Linked DNA regions of Saccharomyces cerevisiae S288C. Changing the gene in region 2 together with the main gene of any one other region gives a genetic interaction. Each region holds a gene or a part of one and is shown on either strand. Other genes may lie near its edges. The genes, in order: AZF1, GPP1 and PRP21.

The links.
Region 1: mutations in GPP1 (region 2) and AZF1 together harm fitness more than expected from each alone (negative genetic interaction), as found in Saccharomyces cerevisiae (2 studies listed by BioGRID).
Region 3: mutations in GPP1 (region 2) and PRP21 together harm fitness more than expected from each alone (negative genetic interaction), as found in Saccharomyces cerevisiae (2 studies listed by BioGRID).

What each region holds. Positions count from the first base shown.
Region 1 is NC_001147.6:530,716-535,983, forward strand, and holds the start of AZF1 (Azf1p), read left to right. Parts: upstream 1-3,359; coding exon 3,360-5,268. Other genes in the region: YOR111W (nucleotide diphosphatase), read left to right, coding at 1-412; COPI-interacting protein CEX1, read left to right, coding at 793-3,078. UniProt on the Saccharomyces cerevisiae protein: Transcription factor involved in the diauxic shift. In the presence of glucose, activates carbon and energy metabolism genes, and in te presence of glycerol-lactate, activates genes needed for cell wall maintenance.
Region 2 is NC_001141.2:249,638-260,572, forward strand, and holds GPP1 (glycerol-1-phosphatase GPP1), read left to right. Parts: upstream 1-5,477; coding exon 5,478-6,230; downstream 6,231-10,935. Other genes in the region: VHR1 (Vhr1p), read left to right, coding at 354-2,276; YIL055C (uncharacterized protein), read right to left, coding at 2,405-4,288; YIL054W (uncharacterized protein), read left to right, coding at 4,906-5,223; 60S ribosomal protein eL34 RPL34B, read right to left, coding at 6,589-6,917, 7,390-7,426; isoleucine biosynthesis protein MMF1, read right to left, coding at 8,206-8,643; PCL7 (Pcl7p), read left to right, coding at 9,276-10,133; DFG10 (putative polyprenol reductase), read left to right, coding at 10,521-10,935. UniProt on the Saccharomyces cerevisiae protein: Major isoform of glycerol-1-phosphate phosphohydrolase involved in glycerol biosynthesis. Plays a role in osmoadaptation and required for adaptation to anaerobic conditions.
Region 3 is NC_001142.9:47,383-58,386, reverse strand, and holds PRP21 (Prp21p), read right to left. Parts: upstream 5,047-11,004; coding exon 4,204-5,046; downstream 1-4,203. Other genes in the region: aconitate hydratase ACO2, read left to right, coding at 1-1,943; ECM25 (Ecm25p), read right to left, coding at 2,209-4,008; RCY1 (Rcy1p), read left to right, coding at 5,236-7,758; NCE101 (Nce101p), read left to right, coding at 7,944-7,975, 8,119-8,248; YJL206C (uncharacterized protein), read left to right, coding at 8,452-10,728; AP-1 complex accessory protein LAA1, read left to right, coding at 10,954-11,004. UniProt on the Saccharomyces cerevisiae protein: mRNA splicing factors, PRP9, PRP11, and PRP21, are necessary for binding of the U2 snRNP to the pre-mRNA in an early step of spliceosome assembly.

The DNA.
Region 1 (5,268 bases), on a different chromosome or scaffold from region 2:
TAAGCTTATCATATGTGCAGACACAATTATTATAGATAAGAGTGGGAGAATCTACGAGAAGCCTAAAACAAAAGAGGTCCAAAAGAAGTTTTTAATGAAGTTTTGCTATGAAGATGATGAACCAGTTAACGTTGTCACCGCTGTGACTTTAATTAAATGGTACGGCAGAGAAAACTTTGAATTGGTACCATTCCGAGATGAAACCAAGGTATACTTTGATAACAAAATACCTTTGAGAATATTGGAAGAATATGTAGAAAGCGGAGATGGGCTGGAGGTTGGCGGTGGATTTAAAATACAAGGGCAAGGTGCTATTCTAATTGAAAAAATTGAAGGTGATTACTATAACGTAGTTGGTTTACCGCTCAATAAAACGTTCAAAGGACTCTATGCTGAGGCTAATTCCATATAACCTTCGTTTAGGTTTTCTTTGGTGTTGCTCAGTTAACTATGTTAATCTTTGCAACACCAGAAGAATGAGTGGAACGGATATTAAAGGCCACATTGGTGAATAGATACATGCGCTAAATAACACGGCTATTAACATTCTACGAGACAGTTTTTCGATTGATGGTAAAGAAAGTTTAAAGCAATACGCATTTTGAATTTCACGCTTTCGCGCACATCTTCTATTTTTTTCACCTTCAAAAAGGCCCTTTCTCTTTGTCTGTTTATATTATGATTATATTAAATATAAGTATCTTAAAAACAATAATATCGTCAAGTTATTTAGTCGAGAGTTTGACACTGTTACTATCGTTGCTTTTATTGGTGAACAAGTATCTGTAAGTGATGAATTTTTCCAGCATTTTCAAATCTATTTCGAATTTCCAGTTCCCATACACCATAGAGGAAACTGCAATCACTGAAACCGCCCTTTGGCAATGTTTCGATGGTACAAGGAAGGCAGATTCCTTGCCAGTAACAGTTTTTAAGGCAAAAAGATCTCCAGAAAATGAATCTTTAATTTTAAATGCTGTACACAAGAGCAAAATTTTGAAGATTCCAGGACTTTGTACGGTGCTGGAGACATTTGATTCCGACCCCCAATCCACATTTATTGTTACCGAACGAGTAGTTCCATTTCCTTGGGATAATCTAGGCTCTTTATCTCAAAACAAATTTGGTGTTGAATTAGGAATATCACAATTATTGGCAACTTTAGGATTTTTAAAAAACTTTGTCCTTGGTACGCTTTCTAAAGATTCTGTTTTTATCAATATTAAGGGAGAGTGGGTACTATTTGGGCTAGAACTTTGTTCAAGCAAAGAAGGATTAAGTGCGTTTGAATTTGCCAGTAGAGCGAGGTCATATTACAACATAATTGGCTCACAGTTGCCCTGTGAAGATCCGAATACAATTGATTCAATGGGGTTAGGATTGTTGATAAAGAGCCTTATGGCTCCTTCTTGTCTGCCCAAAGATTGGATTGTCAATGTAAATATGATTTCAGATGGAAAGATAACAATCGAAAACTTCAGAAAAAGGCTAGAAAATACAGAAACTTGGCGTTCTAATCCTTTGATAAACTTTTATCAAGAATTGAGGGAGTTGCATATAAAGGACCCACAGGGAAAATTGGTTGTGATGTCAAACTTGGAAAATTTGTATTTAGAGTCAAGAGAGATTTTCCGTAATTTAACGCCTGGAATGATAGAAAATTTTATTATTCCAGAGCTTTGTGAAATTATAAAATTATTAATGACACAAAGCATCAGTAGTGCTGCCAGCCCTATAGGCATGAACTTCAACGCATCACATAAACTAGTACCATTCTTAGCGATTGTTTTAGACCTAACTTCTGAAACGAACACCTTTCCAGTTGGTTTCAACGACCTTATCACCCAAAGTTTTAAACTGCCAGATAGGCAAGTAAGATTTCTTTTACTAATATACCTACCCAAATTAATAGGTCCATTGAGCAAATCAGAGATCTCCAGTAGGATATATCCACATTTTATCCAAGGTCTGACCGACTCTGATGCCACTCTTAGATTACAAACACTGAAGACAATTCCATGCATTGTGTCATGTTTAACAGAGAGACAACTGAATAATGAGCTACTGAGGTTTCTCGCAAAAACACAGGTTGATTCTGACGTTGAAATCCGAACATGGACAGTCATCATAATAAGTAAAATCTCAACCATATTATCAACGTCAGTTGGTAATCGCTCGAATATTTTAGCTACGGCGTTCACAAAATCTTTGAAAGATCCTCAAGTAAAACCAAGATTGGCTGCTCTTTATGGGCTTGAGAAGTCGATTGAGCTGTTTGATGTGAACACAATCGCCAACAAAATTTTAACAGTCATTGCCCCTGGTTTATTAGATAAAAGTCCCATAGTAAGAGGCAGAGCCAAAATCCTGTTCGAAGAATATCTGGAAAAATTGGAAAAAGAAGCCCAACTTATTCAAACAAACGATAGTACTGCAGATTCGGAAGATGTGAAAGATATTGATTTTGAGAATTACGGTTGTGATGAAGAGGATATGAATAAAGAAGACAATTTGTTAGCCGCACAATTTTTAAATAATTTACGTTTAAATTCTCCCTCAGCAACAACACCAAGTAACATTACCGAGAGCGAAATTGATTCCGCCCAGGATGGAAGTGGATGGGACGACCTCAGCGATACCGATGGCTTTATTACAAATGGTACCACAGAATCCTTCGATGAAACAACAAACCCTGTAACAACCGCAAGCACCCCAAAATTATTCGGAAAACCTATTAAAATTAATAAAAGTTGGAATGATGAGTTGAATGATGATGGCTGGATTCAAGATGAAAGCGGCCCATCAAAGGTGCCTCAAAAACACACAAGGCCACAAAATTCAACGTTGGCAAAATCCATCGCTCCTAGCTCAAGGCTTTCTATCAAGAAGAAGAAAACAACGATCCTAGCACCAAGAAACATTGCTAGTAACTCTACTGTTACCACCAAATCGTCACTGTCCAATAAAACTGCAAGAAGTAAGCCTATAAGTAGTATCCGCGGCTCGGTAACCAAGAAAGGAAATGTTGACGGCTGGGATGATGATGGGGATTCAGACTCCTGGGATACGAATTGGTGATCCCAAGACTTATATAGCCCTACGTATTGTAGAAGGATATATTCAGTGTTAATCGTTATTTAGAAACATTACGCCCGTGCCCCGCGATTTCGCTTCTTTGAGAAGTGGAGGAAAAGAAGGGTCCCTTTAATTCCAGTAGAAATGAAGCATAAGCAAGAAGAGTCATCAGAAAAGGGAACCTTGTAGTACTATAGATGGTCCCACAGAGAAATTAATTGGGACAAAAACAGCTACACAAGCGATATACTTCAAAAGATTCAGATATTGAAAAATTACCAGCCATGCCTCCTCCAACTGCACAGTTCATGGGCCCTACGCAGGCGGGACAAAATGAAAGCCAAAATCAATCATCAGGCGAAGCTGGGGAGCAAAACCAGGAGCATGGGCAAGGCCCTACTCCTATTCTTAATCAAAGTCAACCGGCTTCTTCTCAACCGCAACATCAACAACAAAGGAATGAGTCGATTTCATATTATACAAATTTCAACCAGCCACGATATTCCACGGACGCCTCTATCAACTCATTCTTGAACATATCTGATAACGTACCAGTAACAAGTACAGGAGGACCTAGTTCTGGCGGCGCCTATTCCAATCTTCCACGATTATCCACTTCAAGTACACATCAACCGCCAGACCTGTCGCAAATCGGACGCGGCTTTTCCATTGTAAACAACCTCTTCCCACAACAACAGCAGCTTCAAAATCAGCATCGGCAACAGCAGCAACAACAACAACAGCAGTCGCACCAGCAGCCTCCCTTCAAGACCCCTTCATTTTCGACGGGATTAACGGGAAGTTCTTCTCAATATCAATTTTTACCAAGAAATGATAATACTTCGCAGCCACCTTCAAAAAGAAACTCTGTTTATCTTGGACCTAATGATGGGCCTGATTTTGAATTTTTCAGTATGCAGCAGTCACAGCAACCGCAGTTCCAGCCTAGCAGTAGAAGAGAATCAAACTCTATGAGACCTCCACTGTTAATACCTGCAGCAACTACTAAAAGCCAGTCCAATGGCACCAATAATAGTGGGAATATGAACACAAATGCAGATTATGAATCATTTTTTAATACTGGTACAAACAACAGTAATTCTAATCAGAACCCGTACTTTTTGAGTTCAAGAAATAATTCTTTGAAGTTTAATCCTGAAGATTTCGATTTTCAATTCAAAAGGCGGAATTCTTTTGTTAGAGGTACTTTGGACCATAGCAGCCAAAATGCGTTTATACCTGAATCAAGATTAAACTCACTATCCGTTAACAACAAAGCTAATGGTGATCCTGTCGCGGATAATGTTACCAATAACATGAAAGGAAAAAGTAATGAAGTTGACAATGATGATGGCAATGACAGTAGCAATAACAATAACAACAACAACAACAACAACAACAATGAAAACAACAATGACAACAATAATGATAATAACGACAATAGTATTAATTCCGCCACCAGTACTAATATCCCAAACCAAGAGGACCATAGCCTTGCTTCTACCGATACCACAAGCAATAGTAGGAAAGATCTAAAAGAAATAGAACAAAGACTTCGAAAACATTTGAATGATGAGGATAATTACTCTAGTGCTATATCAAGACCATTGGATAAAAACGACGTAATTGAAGGCAGTGAGGGATTGAACAAACATATAGACGAGTCTGGTATGCAACCTAATATTATCAAGAAAAGGAAAAAGGATGATTCTACTGTGTACGTCAAGAATGAGATGCCCCGTACTGATCCCCCGATGAGTAAAGACAATTCTACTTCTGCTGAAGGAGCAGCAATGGCAAACTTTTCTGGTAAAGAACCTCCTATACCTGACATAAGTTCAGTAAGTGATGATGCTACTAACCTGATAGGTGCAACAAAGGTCGACCAACTAATGTTGATTATTCAAGCAAGAAAGAAAGGTTTCACGGAGAAAGTAAATACCACTCAAGATGGAGACTTACTGTTTAACCAAACGATGGACATTTTACCACCTAAAAGCGAACTAGTAGGTGGTGTGGAGAAACCAAAAGGCACACAAAATACACGAGCAGTTAAAAAACATGAATGTCCCTATTGTCATCGGCTTTTTTCGCAAGCGACTCATCTGGAGGTTCACGTTCGTTCTCATATAGGGTACAAACCATTCGTTTGTGATTATTGTGGCAAACGTTTTACTCAGGGTGGGAACTTAA
Region 2 (10,935 bases):
TTACTATAAATCAATGTGCTCTCTTCCATGATTCTTGCCTTTTGGATCTTCGGTACTTGTGTGGGTGAGAATGGTGTTATTGAGTCAATTCAGGTCAGCTTGGTTCAGTTCTAATCTAGCCCTTTCCCTACTATACAAATACTACTAGCCTTTTTTTTTCTCTCTCTTTCTCTATACCACTACCTCTTCCTCTTCCTTTTTTTTCTCTTCTTTTTCTATTGTCCCCATCGCATCTTAGCATAAACGCATCCGCATTCCCTTCCTACATTTTTCTTTTCTACTAGTTATAGCTTTAAAACCTTCTTTATTCTCTTTCTACCTATTCTTCTTCGTTGCTTATATCCTATACACATATGAACGGTCCTCCAACATTCACTCAATATAGAATAAATAAGTTTTCTGGGAATGGAGCAACTCATAAGATTAGAGAATTACTCAATTTTAATGATGAAAAGAAATGGAAACAGTTTTCGAGCAGAAGGCTGGAGCTGATAGACAAATTCCAACTAAGTCAATATAAGGCAAGCGAACAAGATCAAAACATAAAGCAGATTGCTACAATATTAAGAACGGAGTTTGGATACCCTGTAAGCTGCTCTAAGGAATTCGAAAAGTTAGTCACTGCTGCTGTGCAATCAGTGAGAAGGAATAGAAAACGATCAAAAAAACGCTACGCTCTCAGCATAGCCAATGGCAGTGGCGGCAATGTCAACAACAGCATCTCGTCAAATTCTACTTCTGACGACGAGATCTCTCCGTCGATCTACCAGCGCTCCAATTCGGACTTCCTGCCTAGTTCTAATTATGCTGCAGATTTCCAGTTTTCAAACAAGTTCCAGCCTCTCATGAGTCACCAGAGTCATAACGGAACCATTTTTCCAACCGTGGGCACCCAAAATGACTCATCTCCATCGGTTACTTCGACCCAACAAAAGTATAACGATATAGTCACCATGCTAGTGCACGATCTTGTTACGAATGTCGTACCCCTATCAGAACAAGCTCTCAAGGACCCATATACTGGGCCAAACCTGTCACATTTTGCTACGTCTTCACTCAGCCAGCAACCTAACATTACCACAAACATCCCGATAGATTCTACCGTGCCATTTTTCCTGAGGGAAAAGTTACTCCTACAAATCCAAAGATCAAGAACTTGTCAGGACATTTCGCAGGCTGCAGGATCCATTGATATATACGCAAATCTGGAGATTTTGGGTGAAATGTCAATCCGAATGTCTATTGCATTCGTTATCGAACGATTTTTCTCCAACTTGGTCTCTTCTTCAATGAAGTATATCACTGCCAAGACGTGCTCTCCTGAAAATCTGGCTTTGTTGTCTCAAAGACTGTTCGGTGCCGCTACAAGACATAACTTATCTCATTTCCCCGCGGCTCAGGTACAACTAAGGCTACTGTATTTGGTCATAGGTGGTATTGTCAAGGATTTTGGCTTCGACCCCACGCTTTACCCTTTAAGTGAAATCATACATCATATTGTGATGGTTCAGTATCCTTTGGCTAGTTCCTGTGCGTCAGAACCACCATCATCTTCACCTAACAAGAGGGTTAAGAGAAGCCCTCCTGTCGTTTCAAGTGACGTTATGTTGAATAATAATAACACTCTATCGAATAGAGCTACACTTTTAACTACGCTACCAATGAAGCCTCAATCGGCCAATAAAGATGTTAATCGCAGAGTGATCATTAGATTTAATGATCGCGAGCAAGCCTTTACTTTCCACCAGTTGAGCAATGGACCACCCACGGTGTCTGAAGTTTTGGAAAACTGTAAAAATTTATTTAATATTATCAACAAGAACAAGAATTTTGGTATTTTCCATAACGATAACCTCTTGAACGATGAAAGTTTGGCAAAGTTATTTGATTCCTTTTCCACGAGCGAGATTCATCTCGTAATTAAGGACATTTCCACCATTCCACTACAAGATGCAAAAATACCAGTGCCCATTACGTTGCCCAAAATGTCATGCATAGGTGAAAACCCCTCTATGCCTTCTATTCCATTGGTACCACAAGAAAAAGATGATCCAAAAAAATCAAGCTTAACTGCCTTTGATAACATCCTTAATAGGATCTCTAAATCGCCAATGAATGAAGAAAATAGCAACACTACTTTAAACACTGGCACCTCCACCTCCAACACAAATAATAATGACCACAACGAGTCTGTGCCAGCGCCATACGTTACAAAGAACAAAAATTCTTTTCAAAATGGCAATTTACCACAGCCGGTTTTCCAGCCTTTACTTTGATAAAAATACAAAACAAAATTGTCTACATACATAACTGCCTAATACACATTCTACACAATATTTTTTTCTTTTTCAATTCGCGTACATATTTATGTAAGATAAAATAATAATATCCTCTTAATCCATGCTTAGAACTGCTGCCGTTGATTTTCAAATTCATCCTCGTCAAATGGTGGCAGTTCCATTACATGAATTTTGTACCCCAGTGAATATTCCTGGTCTTGTAAGGATTCGAACGTCAAATCAGACAGCTCTTTATCGTGGAACCCAACAATGGCATTATACACAATTGTGCTAACTTTAAAGTATTTCGCCTTGCTATCACCTTCGGAGTCAGAGACGTTTCCACTTTGTGCAAAAGTAGTTGGCAAATTTCTATTAAACTCCTCTAATTCATCTTCCGGTAATTCAAACCTCAGTAGAGTTGCTTCTTCATGATCTTCATAAACCCCTACATAGAATTCCCTTGTATTATTGATAGATGTTCGAGGTCCGCCATTTGTGTATGTGCTATTATTTGCACTCCCGTTGGTGTTCTCATTTTCTGATATCTTTAGAGCGTCCATAGATTCATTGAGTAAAGATGCTTCGTTTTGTTGCTGTAGAAACTGTCTTTCCTGTAGTCTTAATAGCTTGGGGCATTTCAGTTTTATAAAATCTTTTAGAACTGTCCATCTTAGCCTTCCAAATTTTTCCAATTGTCCTTTCTCTTTAATTTCAATAACTGTGAACTTCTCTTGGTTCATTAACTCATTGAAATCAGACTCTGATAATTTCTCCAAGAATTCTATAGGTATATAGGGTGGGAAATTTATGATCTTCAGCTGCCACATACCTCTATTCGTCATTTGTTTTCTAAAGCTTTTCTCGTTAAAGATATGCTTTAATCTTTTGTGATTTATTTGAGTTTGTGAAGGTGTAATTGTTCCACCATTCTTTGCTTGGAGGGCACGGTCATCACCATTCGTACTTGTAGTGGGAATATTACCATTATTATTGGAATTTGAGGCCATGTTCAAGTTGTAAAGGGCAGATATTTCGTTATAAGAGGGATTTATCTTATTGTTCCTTAAGGAGAGGTGATGCTGCTGAGAAAGACGAGGGCCTGTGCCAGTATCTGGATTCCTGGGGCTATTATGCATGTATTTTTGAAACTGGCTTTGGTTCTGGTGATAGAAATGCCGACGACGGGGATAGTGTGTAGGGGAAGCAAGTGGACCACCAGCAGTAGCAGCAGCTGTTGGTGAAGGTAGAGTAGTTTGATAGGGCATCTGCATATTAGGTACCGTTCCCGGAGGAGCACCCAACATAGGTAGCATCGAAGTCGAAAATGGACCATGAGGCGGGGGAGCAAGAGGTGGCACACCAACAGGTACGGGAACAGGCGTGGGCAATGGCGTTATGTTCTCATTCTTTCGAAGGCTCACTTCAGGAGAAAAACTGAAAAATTGAGAAGGTGGGGTAGAAGCGGATGGTGGCTGCGGTGTCACAGATGAAACATGGCTTGCATATCGAGGAGAAATAGATCTTTTAGTTTCATCGGGAGCACTCCGGACGTCATTGTTGCTATCACTGATTTCTGGATATCGCAGTGAAGGAGAATCATTAGTGTACGGCAACAGGTAAACGAACAGATCATGATAATCCCATTGGTAGGTGTTCAAAGTAAGTAGTAAGTTTTCCAGGGACTCGTTATCTATCGAGTTCTTCAGAATGACAATGCAACTCTGAAAAGTAATAAAAGGAGGAACCATGGAAGTCATTGGAGGCAGCATTTTCACCTGTAAAATATTGGTATGGTATATGATTCCGCCTATCAAATATTTTACCTGGGCCCAAGTCTTGCCCGGAGGGAGATTATCAATCCTTATGGGAATACCATTTGACTGCGAGTACGTCTTTTTCCTAGGAGCAGCTTTTGTGCTTGCTGTTGAGCTTTCGGTCGCAGAACGGGCAACAAAGGCACTGGCTGAAGCAGCCGACTTGGCACTATAGTGTGGTTCTAGAGTCATTATAAAGCAAGCGTATTGTAAGGAGAGACAGCAAACTCTCGTGTATCAGCCAACTGAACTGGAGGCCAAGACCAATCTAAAAAAAAAAAAAAATGAAAGAAACAAGTGTGGGAGGAAGTCTTGTTAACTTAACAGTTAAGCAAGCGTAAAAACCTTTAGGAAAGCGCACGAAAGAAGGCCAACATTACGACTATGGAATAATACAATGCACACAAACAAAAGGTAACATTTGAAAAATGGAGTAGAGAATATATTCCATTCCCCTAATTTTTTGCGGGTCTTCCAGGGCTGCGAACCCATCGCTCAAAACAAGCGCAGTGTCAATTAAGACATCATTGAACTAAAACGGAAAATTTGCTTGCGCCACACACCCTGGTCAATCGTACCAAGGGATATCACTCTGTACGGGTGGGAGGAAGGCGCGGCAATTAGAATGTGTGGGTGCGGAAGCTCGCCGCTCCCATCAAGAGAGTGGAAGACGTATGGTCTGGGTGCGAAGTACCACCACGTTTCTTTTTCATCTCTTAAGTGGGATTCTTACGAAACACGTCACAGGGTCAAAAGAAAGAGAACAAAAGCAATATTGTAATTGTCTCAGTCCACGGCAATGACATGGCATGGCCCCGAAGGCTTTTTTTGTCTGTCTTCCTTGGGTCTTACCCCGCCACGCGTTAATAGTGAGACAAGCAGGAAATCCGTATCATTTTCTCGCATACACGAACCCGCGTGCGCCTGGTAAATTGCAGGATTCTCATTGTCCGGTTTTCTTTATGGGAATAATCATCATCACCATTATCACTGTTACTCTTGCGATCATCATCATTAACATAATTTTTTTAACGCTGTTTGATGATGGTATGTGCTTTTATTGTTCCTTACTCACCTTTTCCTTTGTGTCTTTTAATTTTGACCATTTTGACCATTTTGACCTTTGATGATGTGTGAGTTCCTCTTTTCTTTTTTTCTTTTCTTTTTTCCTTTTTTTTTCTTTTCTTACTCTGTTAATCACTTTCTTTCCTTTTTGTTCATATTGTCGTCTTGTTCATTTTCGTTCAATTGATAATGTATATAAATCTTTCGTAAGTATCTCTTGATTGCCATTTTTTTCTTTCCAAGTTTCCTTGTTATGAAACGTTTCAATGTTTTAAAATATATCAGAACAACAAAAGCAAATATACAAACCATCGCAATGCCTTTGACCACAAAACCTTTATCTTTGAAAATCAACGCCGCTCTATTCGATGTTGACGGTACCATCATCATCTCTCAACCAGCCATTGCTGCTTTCTGGAGAGATTTCGGTAAAGACAAGCCTTACTTCGATGCCGAACACGTTATTCACATCTCTCACGGTTGGAGAACTTACGATGCCATTGCCAAGTTCGCTCCAGACTTTGCTGATGAAGAATACGTTAACAAGCTAGAAGGTGAAATCCCAGAAAAGTACGGTGAACACTCCATCGAAGTTCCAGGTGCTGTCAAGTTGTGTAATGCTTTGAACGCCTTGCCAAAGGAAAAATGGGCTGTCGCCACCTCTGGTACCCGTGACATGGCCAAGAAATGGTTCGACATTTTGAAGATCAAGAGACCAGAATACTTCATCACCGCCAATGATGTCAAGCAAGGTAAGCCTCACCCAGAACCATACTTAAAGGGTAGAAACGGTTTGGGTTTCCCAATTAATGAACAAGACCCATCCAAATCTAAGGTTGTTGTCTTTGAAGACGCACCAGCTGGTATTGCTGCTGGTAAGGCTGCTGGCTGTAAAATCGTTGGTATTGCTACCACTTTCGATTTGGACTTCTTGAAGGAAAAGGGTTGTGACATCATTGTCAAGAACCACGAATCTATCAGAGTCGGTGAATACAACGCTGAAACCGATGAAGTCGAATTGATCTTTGATGACTACTTATACGCTAAGGATGACTTGTTGAAATGGTAATTTTCTTTTATTTTTTTGATAAAACTACTACGCTAAAAATAAAATAAAAATGTATGATTTCCCTCCATTTCCGACCAATTGTATAATTTTATATCTGCATGACTTAATAATATAATATAATACTTATAAAATACGAATAGAAAAATTTAAACCGATGTAATGCATCCTTTTCTTTGTCGTCTTCGGATGATCTGCCGTGACAGGTGGTTCGCGCAAATCAAGCTGGTTTAGAGAATTTAACACAGAAATAAAAAAGGAAGATTCAATCTTCGTTTTTGTTTTATATCTTACTATAAAAGTGTTTTTTTTTAGTACGACGAGAAGTTAGAGTAATTATAAAAGGAATGCTTATTTAAATTTATTTCTTAGACTTCTTTTCAGACTTCTTAGCAGCCTCAGTTTGTTCCTTAACGACCTTCTTAACAATCTTTTGTTCTTCAATCAAGAAAGCTCTGACGATTCTTTCCTTGACACAGTTGGCACATCTGGAACCACCGTAAGCTCTGGAAACAGTCTTGTGGGTCTTGGAGACAGTAGCGTATTGTCTTGGTCTCAAAGTGGAAATACCTTGTAGAGCACTACCACAGTCACCACACTTTGGTCTAGTAGCCAACTTCTTAACGTGTTGGGCACGCAAGATACCACCTGGGGTCTTAACAACCTTGATTTTGTTAGAACGGGTGTTGTCTGTACGTAGTAAAGAGAAAATTTTCCCATTAATGTTAGTAATCACTTCTTTATTATCCTATGATTTAAGAACTTGAGTGGGATTGCTCCATATGAAAAGTATTTCGGCGTTGCTGAATGAATATTATCTCATTTCAATCTTTCAACAGCGGAGAAAAATTCATTTTCCATTTGGGTCGACCAAGGTCTTCCACTTAGAAACTGAAGTCAACTTATTGCTGTCCACATTACTGGATACTGTTCGTTCATGCTGTCTAATGTTTTAATGTCATGCCAATATATTTGAAAGTTCTTGCATAGTTGATTCCCCTATCGATGATCTGGTTCTTCCTATTTCTAAGTGGTACGCTTCTCTAAATAGCACTCGTTCGCCTTTTAACCTCATTTTCCCACAATGAAAGTTCAAAATAAGTTCATAATAAGTTCATAATAAGTTTTCATGAAAACTCAAAAAAATAGTTCAGTAACATACATGGATTTCTTCTTCTGAAAGTAACACGTTGAGCCATTTTTAGGGTTGTTCGTTGCTAATCTATTCTCAGTTTCAATCAAAGTAAATTGAATCAAAAGAATATAACAAGTGCCAAATACTATGTACTACCCGTTATTTACTACTTACAACTAATAAGTTCATCAACTTTTACGTAGAATGCTATTGAAACATTCCAAACTTACCCACCAGCTGCGATGAAACGGCTCCTGAGAGCCCGTTACCATACCGTCTGAACGGGTGCTGGGGCCACTGACAGGAAGAGGAAGAGTTAGAATTGTTACTGGCTCCTCCCCCAGGCGTCAATTCCATCTCCTCCCAGAAGGACGGTCTCTCTGCCCAAAGGAATGAACTTTCATGGGAAGGGACAAATGAAGCGGACTATTGTCGGAAGCGGGACCTCCGAAAGCAAATGAAAGTAAAAATTCAAAAATTCAAAAAAAAAAAAGCTGAAAGGAAAACACCCAAACAACACACGGTATGTGACGACATCTGTACACCGCAAAGTTGTGACGAAAACACAGTCACAGTTTTTTAGAATTTATGATTAGAGTGTTCAAGAAAATAAGTTCCAACACGTAATAGGTTTCTACCCCTGTCTTGTAACATTGATACAAGTAGAGGGAAACTCCCCTCACATTTTCTACAACGGCAAGAAACTGATTCTGAAACTCCGTAAATTCGTTTCTTTTCTTAGTTAAAATCTTATATACGCTAAAGAATGCTACTAAAATGTTTATAAATGTACACTCCTCGGTATCGCAAGTGGAAAAAAGGCAGTAAAGAAGTTTCAATCCTTCAATTCTTTTCAACAGCGATAACTTCCATTTCTAAATCAACATTCAAAGGTAAGGAAGCAACACCAACACAGGATCTTGCAGGCTTATGGGTGTGGAAGTGTTTGGCGTATACAGAGTTGAATTCGGCAAAGTTTTTCATGTCAGCCAAGAATACGTTGACTTTGACTATATTGTCTAAAGAAGAATTACTTTCTGCTAAGATATTCTTAACGTTTTGAAAAACTTGTTCGGCCTTCTCAGAGATAGAACCTTGAACAGGCTTGTTATCTGGAGTATAAGGGATTTGACCAGACACGTACACAAAATTGTTGGCCTTCATAGCTTGGGAGTAAGAGGCGGCAGCGGGTGGGGCCAACTTGGTGCTGACCGGGGTCAATGTTGTTATACCCCTCCTCAAGACTGGAGCTGTTCTCAAAACGGAATTTCTTAAAAACATTATTGGTAATATATTTGTGTGTATGTGTTGTCCTTTTTACCTGTAAATCTCACACAATTTACTAGCTAACCTAATTCTTATGCATGTGTAAGACCCATTTAGTCATATGTATTTATATATATCAGGGGATCCATACGGTGTGTTTTTCGCTGGATGAGCGACAGAGGCGGAATCGCATCTCCGCAAATGAGAGCGTACACAGGAGCAAAGTGAATAACGTCCTTCAATGATAGAGACTTATCCAATAAGCAGCACTGGTCTTCTAAGATCACCGCCTGTGCACTTTTCTACGGGCTCTTTTAATTGTATAACATGGACAGTGATCATTGCATTTTGCATCCATAGGCATACTATGGCTTAAGGTATTACTATCTATCGCGCCTAATCTCTGGGAGTTTTGAGGCCGGTTTCGGAATCTCGGTATCTTGCGATGGGTCCAAAACGGTGTAAACAAAGCAGGGGATAGCAGCGCAGGCTTCAACATCTCAAACCTTTATATATACAAAAAGTATATCTATATATTCATCTACGGTTCTTAAAATAGTACAACAAAAGTTAACAGACATTAATTACTGTAATCAGACTAAAGCAAACCGAGCTAGAACGAACGACTGCTTACACTAGAGAAAAATATGGAGCTAAGTTCACCATCAAAAAAAACCACAACATCGCCAATAAATATACCAGGGGGGAATAGAGATAACCTAATAATCGGACCACATTCTCACAGCTTCAAGACCGATCCATTTTCAAGTAACAATAGTAGTTTGCTGTCCAAAATATCTACTAACCCCAGTTTGGAAAGCCCTTTCTCTTCGAAATCTTTACTAGATTGTTCTCCTGTACAAGCTGTAAAGAAGTCTTTAGAGTCGGAAGCAAAAACGCATAGCCTGGACGAGGAGACAAATGAACAGACTGATGTAAAGATCTTAAACATAGCAGACTTTCCCACAGATGAACTCATACTAATGATAAGTGCGCTACTCAACAGAATTATAACAGCAAACGATGAAACTACAGATGTCTCACAACAAGTGTCGGATGAGACCGAAGACGAACTCTTAACTCCAATCCTTGCTTTCTATGGAAAGAATGTTCCAGAGATAGCTGTTGTTCAGTACTTAGAGAGAATTCAAAAGTACTGTCCCACCACAAATGATATTTTTCTTTCTCTCCTTGTATATTTCGATAGAATCTCCAAAAATTATGGGCATTCTTCTGAGCGTAATGGTTGCGCAAAGCAATTATTCGTCATGGACTCCGGGAACATTCATAGATTGCTCATAACAGGTGTCACAATTTGCACGAAGTTCTTGAGTGATTTTTTTTACAGTAACTCTCGATACGCCAAGGTTGGAGGTATTTCTTTGCAAGAGTTAAACCATTTAGAATTACAATTCCTGATACTATGTGATTTCAAGTTATTGGTTTCAGTCGAAGAAATGCAGAAATATGCAAACTTGTTATATAAATTCTGGAACGACCAGTAGAATGCTGTCCTGCATATTATTCATGCCCTTCCCTTACCGTTACTCGTATTATACATATCAATTTCTGATTTACGTAACGCGTACATATCGGTTATATTTAAATAATTTAATATTCCTTTTAAATCAGTGGTTTTTCATATTAGTAGCATTTCTCCTGAAATGATAGCTATTGCAATAGAATGAAAAAAAAAACTTTTTGCCCAAATAAATCATAATCTACCGGTAAAGAGAAATTCGGTCCTTGTTCTATTCAGTATTATGCTTTCTCTTTTTTTTCCAAAATGAGAATTAAGGACGTTTCGAAAAAGTAAAAATATACCAAATGTGGAATATAAATAGGTTTATCGGCGGACCGATCTGGCTTAAAACGTAGAATCTACCAGTCCAATGTACTTTGATGAAGAACAATTGCTAAAATATACTATATATGCCTATAGATTATCCTTTTTTGTAGGCATTTGCTCACTTTTCATAGCAAAAAGTTGTCTACCAGAATTTCTTCAATATGGTAAAACCTACCGGCCCAAAGAGAATTCAAAGTACTCAAGCATTTTAGAACGAATCAAGAAGTTCACAGTTCCAAAGGCGTATTTTTCCCATTTTTACTATTTGGCTACCTTTCTATCCTTAGTCACCTTATATTTCTATCCTAAATTCCCCATCGTTTGGATCATATTTGGACACTCATTGCGCCGACTTTATGAAACGCTTTATGTACTACATTATACAAGCAATTCTAGGATGAATTGGTCCCATTATCTAGTCGGTATATGGTTCTATTCCGTACTCTTGTTAATTCTTA
Region 3 (11,004 bases), on a different chromosome or scaffold from region 2:
CCAACCAAGAAGTTTTCGATTTCTTGGAGAGTTGCGCAAAGAGATATGGAATTCAATTCTGGGGCCCAGGTTCTGGTATCATTCACCAGATTGTTTTGGAAAATTTCTCAGCTCCAGGTCTAATGATGCTAGGTACTGATTCCCATACACCAAATGCAGGCGGTCTGGGAGCTATTGCCATCGGGGTTGGTGGTGCGGATGCAGTTGATGCCCTCACAGGCACTCCATGGGAATTAAAAGCACCAAAAATTTTAGGTGTTAAATTGACCGGAAAGTTAAACGGATGGTCCACTCCTAAAGATGTAATCACAAAGCTCGCTGGTTTACTAACTGTCAGAGGTGGTACTGGTTATATCGTCGAGTACTTCGGCGAAGGTGTATCCACTCTATCTTGCACAGGTATGGCAACCATCTGTAATATGGGAGCTGAAATCGGTGCTACAACGTCAACTTTCCCTTACCAAGAAGCTCACAAGCGTTATTTGCAAGCAACTAATAGAGCAGAGGTCGCTGAAGCAGCTGATGTTGCTTTAAACAAGTTTAACTTCTTAAGAGCCGACAAAGATGCTCAATACGATAAAGTTATTGAAATTGACTTATCCGCAATTGAACCTCACGTTAATGGTCCATTTACACCAGACCTTTCAACCCCAATATCTCAATATGCCGAAAAAAGTTTGAAGGAAAACTGGCCCCAAAAAGTTAGCGCTGGTTTGATTGGATCATGTACCAATTCATCTTATCAAGACATGAGTCGTGTTGTCGACTTGGTCAAGCAAGCTTCCAAAGCCGGCTTGAAACCACGTATCCCCTTCTTTGTCACCCCTGGTTCAGAACAAATTAGAGCTACCTTGGAAAGAGATGGAATCATCGATATTTTCCAAGAAAATGGTGCCAAAGTTTTAGCAAATGCATGCGGCCCTTGTATCGGACAATGGAATAGGGAAGATGTCTCGAAAACATCAAAAGAAACGAACACTATTTTTACATCATTCAATAGAAATTTCAGAGCTAGAAACGATGGTAATAGGAATACAATGAATTTCTTAACATCCCCAGAAATAGTAACAGCGATGAGTTATTCTGGAGATGCTCAGTTCAATCCGCTAACTGACTCAATTAAATTGCCAAATGGGAAGGATTTCAAATTCCAACCACCAAAGGGTGATGAGTTACCAAAAAGAGGATTTGAACACGGTAGAGACAAATTTTATCCTGAAATGGATCCAAAGCCAGATAGCAATGTAGAGATTAAGGTAGACCCTAATTCTGATCGTTTGCAATTATTAGAGCCATTCAAACCTTGGAACGGGAAGGAATTGAAGACAAACGTGCTTTTGAAAGTTGAAGGTAAATGTACAACAGATCATATTTCCGCTGCGGGCGTCTGGTTGAAATATAAAGGCCATCTAGAAAACATTTCTTACAATACATTGATTGGTGCACAAAACAAAGAAACCGGTGAAGTCAACAAGGCTTATGACCTTGACGGAACTGAATATGATATTCCTGGTTTGATGATGAAATGGAAATCAGACGGTAGACCATGGACCGTGATAGCGGAACATAACTATGGTGAAGGTTCCGCAAGAGAGCATGCTGCTTTGTCACCAAGATTTTTAGGCGGAGAGATTCTTTTAGTTAAGTCTTTTGCAAGAATTCATGAGACAAACTTGAAGAAACAAGGTGTGTTGCCATTGACTTTTGCCAACGAATCTGACTATGATAAAATATCAAGCGGAGATGTTTTAGAAACGTTGAACCTAGTTGACATGATTGCTAAGGATGGTAATAACGGTGGTGAAATTGATGTTAAAATTACTAAACCAAACGGTGAATCGTTCACCATCAAGGCAAAACATACTATGTCTAAAGATCAAATCGATTTTTTCAAAGCTGGTTCAGCAATCAATTATATTGGTAATATACGAAGAAACGAATAAATTCTGAAGAGATATTAGCTAAAAATTAAGAGTCCGATTTAATAGTCATAAGCTAGTTTACACAATTCTATAGACTCTGCATATAGACGGTGCAAATAACCTACCTATTTATTTATTTATTTACTATAAAAAACGTAATATTGTTTGATATATAATATTATACACGAGATCTCGACTGCTTCAACTACGGCTTAACTCAAGGGTGGGGGGTATTTTGTTGTCGTATATGCAATATGTATGTGTTAAAAAGATACAATTATGTAAGTTACCACCTTTGTTTCATTTCATTCATTACTTGTAAACCTTGTAAACGTTCTTCGTACAATGCAGCTAGCCTGCTAACCTTGTTGCTTGCTTTAATATCTGAATATCCCTTTTGAGAGAATTTATCTGCTGTCTTTGAAGTAGTTTCATTTTTCTTCTTCTTTTCTTGTAGTTCTTTGTCGAACTTCTTAATCTTCGCGTTTTGGACGAGGGTTAAACTTTCAAACTGTTGTACGAATATATCTGTTTCCACAGAATTTTTATCCTTTGCTGGCTCGTCCTTAACCATTTCTTTGATATTATCTGATATCGTTAAATCGGTGCTGCTGTTACTCAATGGAAGCGAGTCTGCTGATGGAGTCTTCGTCGGTGAGGATAATGTATCTGTAGAAGAAGAAGCTAATGCCAAATCTGTATTAGAATTGGAAGTTAGAGACAGTTGTGGTCGTGTAACTGCCTTAATAGGAAGTGGAGGTTTGGCATTGAATGATGGGGATGAAACATTTCTGCTTGAAGACTTAGGTTTCAAGACTGGTGTATTTTGTAATGCGACAGGTGTGTACGTTGGAGACGTAACAGATCTTTGTGGACTAGGGCTTCGACTTCTAGGAAGGGTTAAGCAGCCTAGTTCACTGTATCTGGTTGGCGACGACTTCCTTGGCTTAGGCAAAACAGGGATAGTAGAAGACGATGATACGGATGAAGGAGGTGATGATATTTCCTTCGCGATTTCGGGGAAAAAGTCCAGTAAATTTTTAATATATCTCGACCCAATAGCTAAACGATCATTAGTCATCATGGAAAGTTTTTCCTTACATAACGCCGGAGTTAAAGCTTTACTTAGGGTCCTTGAATCATGTTTAGTCGATTCACCATGCGCTATGATCCTATTAAAAAAAGGAATTATGACCATAAAGAGGTCCTGGTATTGGTTGAATTTAATAATTTTGCGGAATGTTTCACTTGTGAACTTTAGATCATCAACAATTGGTAACGGAATTAATTCAATTGGGATTAGAGGTTTGGCTTTATTCTTAATGAAGTAATTCAACCACACGGATGCCAAAGAATAAATATCCCATTGAGATAAATCAATGTAGTTGTTTCTTTTGATAATATCCAAAAAAATGTTTACCTTTTTATAGTTTCCCGGCTTCTGGAATATCAATTCACACAACAGAGCGTCATTCTGTAATTTCTTGAAAATTTTATCGAATACTAACTGCCTATACTGTCTTATTGCCAGAGGGGTCAATCTGTTATAATATTCCTCCGGGACATTTATATGTTCGCGTATCTGGTAATCATATAAGTACACGTTCAACGATATTCTAAGTCGCGTAATATCTATTAGCTCGGATAAAGAAGTCAGGTCCAAGACATGAACTAAACTTGGAAAATCATGCTGACTATCTTTTGAGTCCAAGAAGTTAAAGTTCATAGCGTTTGAAATTACTTGATAGACCGACCTAACGAAGAATGACTCATGAACAATAAAAATCTTTTGTAAATAGAACTTGGTCTCTTTGGGTAACTTTGCAAACATTTTAATACCGTAAACCCAGCTTATTTTTCTCTGGGAAAACCCAGATGAAAAAATCACCAGTGAATATGGTGCCTGTGGCAATTTCATTACCAATCGATCCATGAGGGCATTAATAAGCAAGTCATAAACTTGCTTATCGCCAATTTCATCAGATGCTGGCAAATAAGTCGAATCAAAGACATAAATTGCGTGACCAGAGTTAGGATCAACTGAATAAGATCTAAAAAATATGTTATTAACGTTGATATCTATCATCCTGGCCTTCTTTCACGCTACCAATAGTATTATCCAGTAGGGCCATATCCTCGAGAATTTCACTTTCTATATACAAAATAACATCAACATGAAAAAACGCCAAAATACGTACGCCGTTAATAGTGATACATGTGCTCAATTACGGTGCATCATCAACCTTTACATACTTCTAGCTAACTTTGATTTTCATGAGGCTTATTTTTTACTTTTCTTTAACCTTGTCTCTCCCACAGCTCTAATTTTACGCTTTTTGCCCTTACTATCTCCTCCTTTTTGCTTACCTTGGTCGGATACTATCTTTTCTTCTTCATTTGTCGGCTTGATACTATCGAATAACTTAATACCAGTTTGTACTCTTCGCAGCCTCATCTGTTCTAAATCTAGAGAGCCTTCGAAGATTTCTGTGTCTTCAGGGATAGAAAATTTTGCCACTTGAGTAAATTTATCCCATGGAATGGCTGCAAATTGTATTTTGCACAACTCTACGAGCTTATCATGTTCCCGGTCTTTATCTTTCTCAAATTCCCAATACTGTGTTCTCTCAAAACAATTATCTAAAATGGTTCTCTTACTTTTCTTGATTTCTTGACCAGTAAAAGAATATACTCGCTTGTACTGGGCGACAAAATCAGTGAATGTCTTATGTAGCGGATGTGAGCTGTTCATAAAGTTTAATCTGGCTTCACCATCCTTTGAAATCATCTGTTCAACAATACTTTTATCCTTTGCATAGTAGCGTGCTGTCAATTTGATTACTTCCATGTCTCTTCGGGATATTCCAGTATCATATTGAGAGAACAGAAAATCCGGCGGCCTTGCTATCTCTCGCTCACTCTTTCTGTCATTATCTTCACCGCTGACAGTGTCTGTTGGCTCATTCATGAGTTTGGTGTAGTATTCATGGAGTGGGTCATCTTTCTTGATGAATGAGAATCTCTCATCTTCTAGCAGTTTGTTCTCAAACTCAACACCATGCTGCTTTATGTAATTTACTGTGGTTTTAATGTCCTCTTTCAGCTGGGTATCTTCTGGTTCCATTTATACAACTGCAAATTATTGCTGTTAGTTTTACGCTTTACCTTATTTCTTCCTGTATTTAAGTGTTTCAAGGCTAACTTTTGCCGAAATATTTCGTTGAAGGAAGGTTCTTATTTTATCAAAAAATGGTCAACAGACAAACAATAGAAAAACCAAAAGAAAACAAAAGCTTTTGAGGAAATCGGTAAAATGGATGATCTGCTAAAAGTTCCCGAGATTGTAACCAATATTGCCTCATATTTATCTACTGTAGATTATCTGAGTTTTCAACAAGTGAATAAACGGGTTTATGCAATCATTAACGGCAAAAATGATTCAAAGTATTGGTCATTGAAATTGACTAGAATGGGTCTCCAACAGGTGCATTCAAATGAAGAAGAAGAAATTACGTTGCTGGATGAAAATGATAATCAAAATTCCCTTCGCATCTTCGAAATATACAAATCTTTCACTGCTCAAAATTCTAAAAAAATCTTTGTGAAATTTTACCGTTGTTATAACTCATACGCTAGGAAGCTATATAATAATAATCTAGCAAATTTCTTTCCTACTTCATATTCCAACGATCCGTTGAAACAAACAAGAATTCTAAATTTTATCAAAAAGTACAATTTCTCGAATAAAAATGATATAGAAACATTTACTAGGATTGAAACTAATTTCAACATTCTTAGGGAAATCTTCATTAATTCTGTTCTCAAAGAGTCAGAATTGAATTACCAGTCTAATAATTTAGCTGCCGTCGCTCGTTTCATGAAAATTTTATTGATATCTAATGAGGAAAGCAATGCTATCGAATTTTTCAAGTCAAAGGCTGATTTGCCTCCCAGTTTAACGGTTTTGCCGTCTAATGATGAATTATTTTGGGCCGAACAACCAAGGGAAGAGGACAGCGGTGGGAGTACCGTGATATTTAATTCTAAAAATTTAGATACGTTTCTCAATCAGCTAAGGGATTTCCTCAACGAAAAGATTAAATTAGCGGACATTTTATTCAAAGATGAGTTCCCTGTAATATTACAGTTCATCGAGTCCTTTATCCAAGATATTTTATTAGATATTTTAAACAATATCTTATTAAGCTATAGTGAATTTTTAAAAGAAAATGGAAAGGATAGTAAAGCCAATTATGAATGCGTACCCGAACTTTATTTCACATTTATAAAAAAGTTTGATACTGAATTAAACGACTCAGTAAACGCAGGCGCAAATTTCCGTAAAGTTGTTCGTGACCTTTTAAACCTGTATCTCGAGCCCTTTGTTGTCAACTATATGAATCAGACAACTAGAGTATTTGAATCATTGATCAACTCACAATTAGCTAATTATGACACACAAGTTCAAGACAAGCAGCGTGAGCAAAACGCAAAAATTTATAACACTTTAAAAGATCAAACGGATGCTTCGAGTGCAAGTAACAATGAATTGCCGAATGACCTCTCAATAATTACTGAAACCTCCAAAACTGTCCCAGAAGCGGATTCAAAACCAAGTACGATCCATCAATCAGTTCATTCAACTGATATTTCTAATGATAAACTAGACTTTCTAAGTTCCTTCACCAAGATTTTCAAGTTCTCGAACAATGAAAATCAAAGGCTAAAGCAACAACTACAACTAGCCTACAACTTAAATTTAATTTCCAATAACTTGCAAAACATTAAATCGTTAATAAGTCTCGATTTATGTTACAAAATTTTACAGGAAACAAGCGAAAAGACGGATCAAATTTACAAATTTCATACGATTGAAAGTTTGCTACCATTGATCAAGCTACGCTGTCAAGAGATTTTCAAAATTTTAATTACACAATTGAATAAAAATCACGTTAAACCTGCATTTGAAAAGGCAATCCTGCTACTACAAAAATATAATCCTAACGAAATAGAACAAATAGAAATAAAATTCAATTCACTTTCGCCAGCCAATACTCAAGTCGAACCTTTAGTACAATTCACTGAACTTATCAATATAGGTGACATAATATTACAAATGATTTCCATTTTTTACAAGAACGAATTGATTCCCAAAAAAATTATCGATAAAAATAAAGATTTTCTTAATGATGTTATCCAATTAAAAAAAAATTTTGAGACTTCTATCGATGATTTTGTAGCCGAAGGTTTAAATATCGGTATAAACAAACTAATGGATGAAATCTCATTTGTATTCAAGACTCTTCAATTGCCTGACGATTATAATCCACCGCCACCCTCTAGGAATTCTCCAATAAGGGATATAAAGCCAACCAAATGTGCTATCAGGGTAGTCGAGTTACTTTCTAATCATTGCTTTCTACTGACTGGTGCCACAGACAAGGGTACTATTGACGTGTACCAACAAGAAATTGGCGAGAGATTCTTTAATGAAATCGTCAAACATCTGAAGAAGTGCTTCATATCTACGGAGGGCGCAATTTGGTTAATCTGCGATTTAAATTACTTTTACGATTTTATTGCTAACAAATTAAAACAAAAAAATGTTGTTCCCTATTTTGTTGGGCTTAAGTCTATTGGCCAGTTATACATCATTTCAGGCAAGGACTCGAAAGAGTTGGGAAAGCTTATTTCTGATCTTGGGAAATTCAATGGCATTTTTACGCAAGAGGAAATTTATGAATTTGTTCAGAGGAGAAGCGATTGGGTTCGTGTACGGAAAGACGTTGAAAAGGTAATGTACGGCCTAGGCATACGAGATTGCTGCATTATGTAAATTCCTATCAATGATTAATTATATTACTCTATATAGGTATGAAGTGCGGAAATAAAAGACTGTTCACATATTAGATTATTCAAGATTACGCGGGCTCTATTTTTCCCTGTTAGCCACACGCACACAAGGGGCATACAAATGTTCACTCCATTTATAAGAGGATTCCACACAAGATCATCGATAACATGGTTCAGTACGCTCCCTTTCTATTAGGAAAGTATGTTCATTCTTCATACGCTATTCTATTTTTTTTTTTTTCACACTTATTCTTTTACTAACGCATAGTTAACCATTTGCTGTTTCGAAGAGGCAACATCAAACAAGTCGATGTGCTCTTTCCCAAGCTGGTCTCTATTGCAGATTTTCTGATCCGTTATTGGCAATTATGGTAGGCTGTCTCAGCTACTATGTGTACGAAAGGAAAATGGGGCGTCCACAAGGTCATCATTTACACGAGCTCATAAAGAAGCGATGGGACGATCGCAAATAATAATCCGGCGTGAGGGGAGTATATATAAGTTTCTGGCGATATGTAAATACCATAATAATTAATCCTAGGATCTACCTTTATACGCATTTATCCTATAAAAACCCAATCTTTCAGATCCACAGTATTTTTATATGTGTGATTTCCTTGATTGTCTCAATTTAAAGAGTAATACATACAACTTAGACCAAAGAATTATTCAATAGATGACGCCGAAAGAATCTGGAAAGCCTATTTCGTGTGCAATGAAGAAGTTGAAAGGCAAGAGATCTAAGATTTTGGTTTTATCTAGAGATGCGGGCACCAACGAATTGAAGCCAACGAAAGGAAGAGCACATCGAGCTTGCATAGCTTGCAGAAAGAGGAAAGTACGATGTAGTGGTAATATACCATGTAGACTTTGCCAGACTAATAGTTACGAATGCAAATATGATCGCCCCCCACGGAACTCATCGGTATTTGATAGGGAAGTAAGCGATGATAGTTCCTTATATGCACAGAGAGCTTCCCACGAACGGGAAGATAGCAAGGGCCCTATAAGTTCCATTGATTACAAAAAGGTTGTAGAGACGATCTTTCCACCTGAAACACTCCGTCAAATACTTGCTTCTTCTTCTTTTAACAGCCAGAATTTTTTGGACACTATTAAAACGTGTCTACTTCAAGGACAATTAAATGTTAATCAGGTAATACGTCAAAGTCTACCAAAAGATACGCCTTGGCACATGCAAACAAGTGTTCCATTACCACCCAGAGAGATTGCCTTGAAATTTATTCAAAAGACCTGGGATTGTGCCTGTGTGCTATTTAGGTTCTATCACAGACCTACTATCATTTCTATCTTGGACTCGATATACGAAGCAGAAAAACATGGCAAGCAATATACTCCAGAACAAGTGAAAACACAACCTTTAATTTATTCTGTTTTAGCAGTCGGAGCCCTTTTTTCTAAGGAAGATCTCAGCAAGGATAGTAAAGCAACTAGGGAATTTTACACTGATGAAGGCTACAGATACTTTTTAGAGGCCAAAAACTCTTTGGACTTTTCTAATATTACTGACATCTATTCCATTCAAGCTATATTTATGATGACGATCTTTTTGCAATGTTCAGCAAACTTGAAGGCTTGCTATTCGTTCATTGGTATCGCTCTGCGTGCTGCGTTAAAGGAAGGTTTACACAGGCGGTCTTCCATAGTTGGTCCTACTCCGATTCAGGATGAGACAAAAAAAAGGCTCTTTTGGTCTGTGTACAAACTAGATCTGTACATGAATTGTATTCTTGGTTTTCCAAGCGGTATCGACGAATCTGATATCGACCAAGAGTTTCCTCTAGACGTCGACGATGAAAATATATCTACTATTGGAATAAAGTTTCAAGATTGGCGAACGATAAGTTCCTGTGGAATGAATAATAAGCATACAAAGCTTATTTTAATCATGTCTCGGATCTACAAGCTAATGTACTCTTTGAGAAGAAAACCATTAGAAGAGGATTCTAGGACGCAGATTGTATCGTTGAACGATCAATTAGATAATTGGTATGCCCAATTACCAGATATTTTGAAGGTTGACACAATACGGTATCGTCAAACGCAACCACCTCTAACTGTTTCCGCAAATGATACTAGTTCTCCATACACTAAACCTAAGAAATTATTATATCTGGACTTCCTTCTATCCAAAATCGTACTCTATAAACCATTCTACCACTATATTTCTATAGACCCGTTAGATATCCCAGAGTTCCAATTTCAAATTCACATGGCGGAAAACTGTATTGAAGTTGCCAAAAAAGTTATTCAATTATCTTATGAAATGATTACGCAAAACCTTTTGAGTGGTAGCTACTGGTTTTCCATTCATACAATCTTTTTTAGTGTTGCTTGCCTCAAATTTTATGTCTACCAAACAGAAAAGGGCCTGATACGAAATGGGAAGGTTGATTCGGATATTCATAACGCTACGCAGCTTGGCAGTGAAATATTATCACTTTTGAAGGGTGCTTCAAATGCGAGTAAACGTACTTTTGAAGTATTGAACCAATTGTTCAAAGAGTTTAACGAGAAGACCTCTGTATTATCTGAACAACTTTTGAATATAGTTAAATTGCAACGGCAAGAAAGTAGTGGAGCTTTAGTGCCCCAGTTGCAGACAAATAATAATTTTACGAAGTGCCAAGGAGAATTACATCATGGACAGCAGCATCACCAAACTCCAGCCACGAGTCTTCGTTCCATTCTGAATCTTCCACAAGGGGAAGCTGATCTAAAGTTTCAGAATACCAATAATGAGAGCCATACAACGACAGCTGCACAAGAAGAATACTTAGATAAACTTCTAGCAGAATTTGAGGAATTTGACTACTCAATTAACAGAGTATTACCTGATGTCATCGATTTTTCAGCACTAATTGGCCAAGATTCTTCTGCCAACAATCAAATATTTTCCTCAGAATTCAGCTCTGACCCAACAGTAAATTGAACCTTTAAACTCGCGACTTCTTTATATCTGTATATTCTTCTACATCCTTCTTTTTATGTATTATTATTTTATCTGCTTCCTCACACCACATAGTGGCATACCGTGTGTGGCCGTTTTTTTTTTCATCGCCATATTGAAACAGTGATTTGTTATTATTCAATTGAAATAATAGTTATTAGGTTTAAAAAAAACTAAAAGATAAAATAAATAGCCCAGGCCACGAAAATGGCAAACCGATCCCTCAAGAAAGTGATAGAAACATCATCAAACAATGGT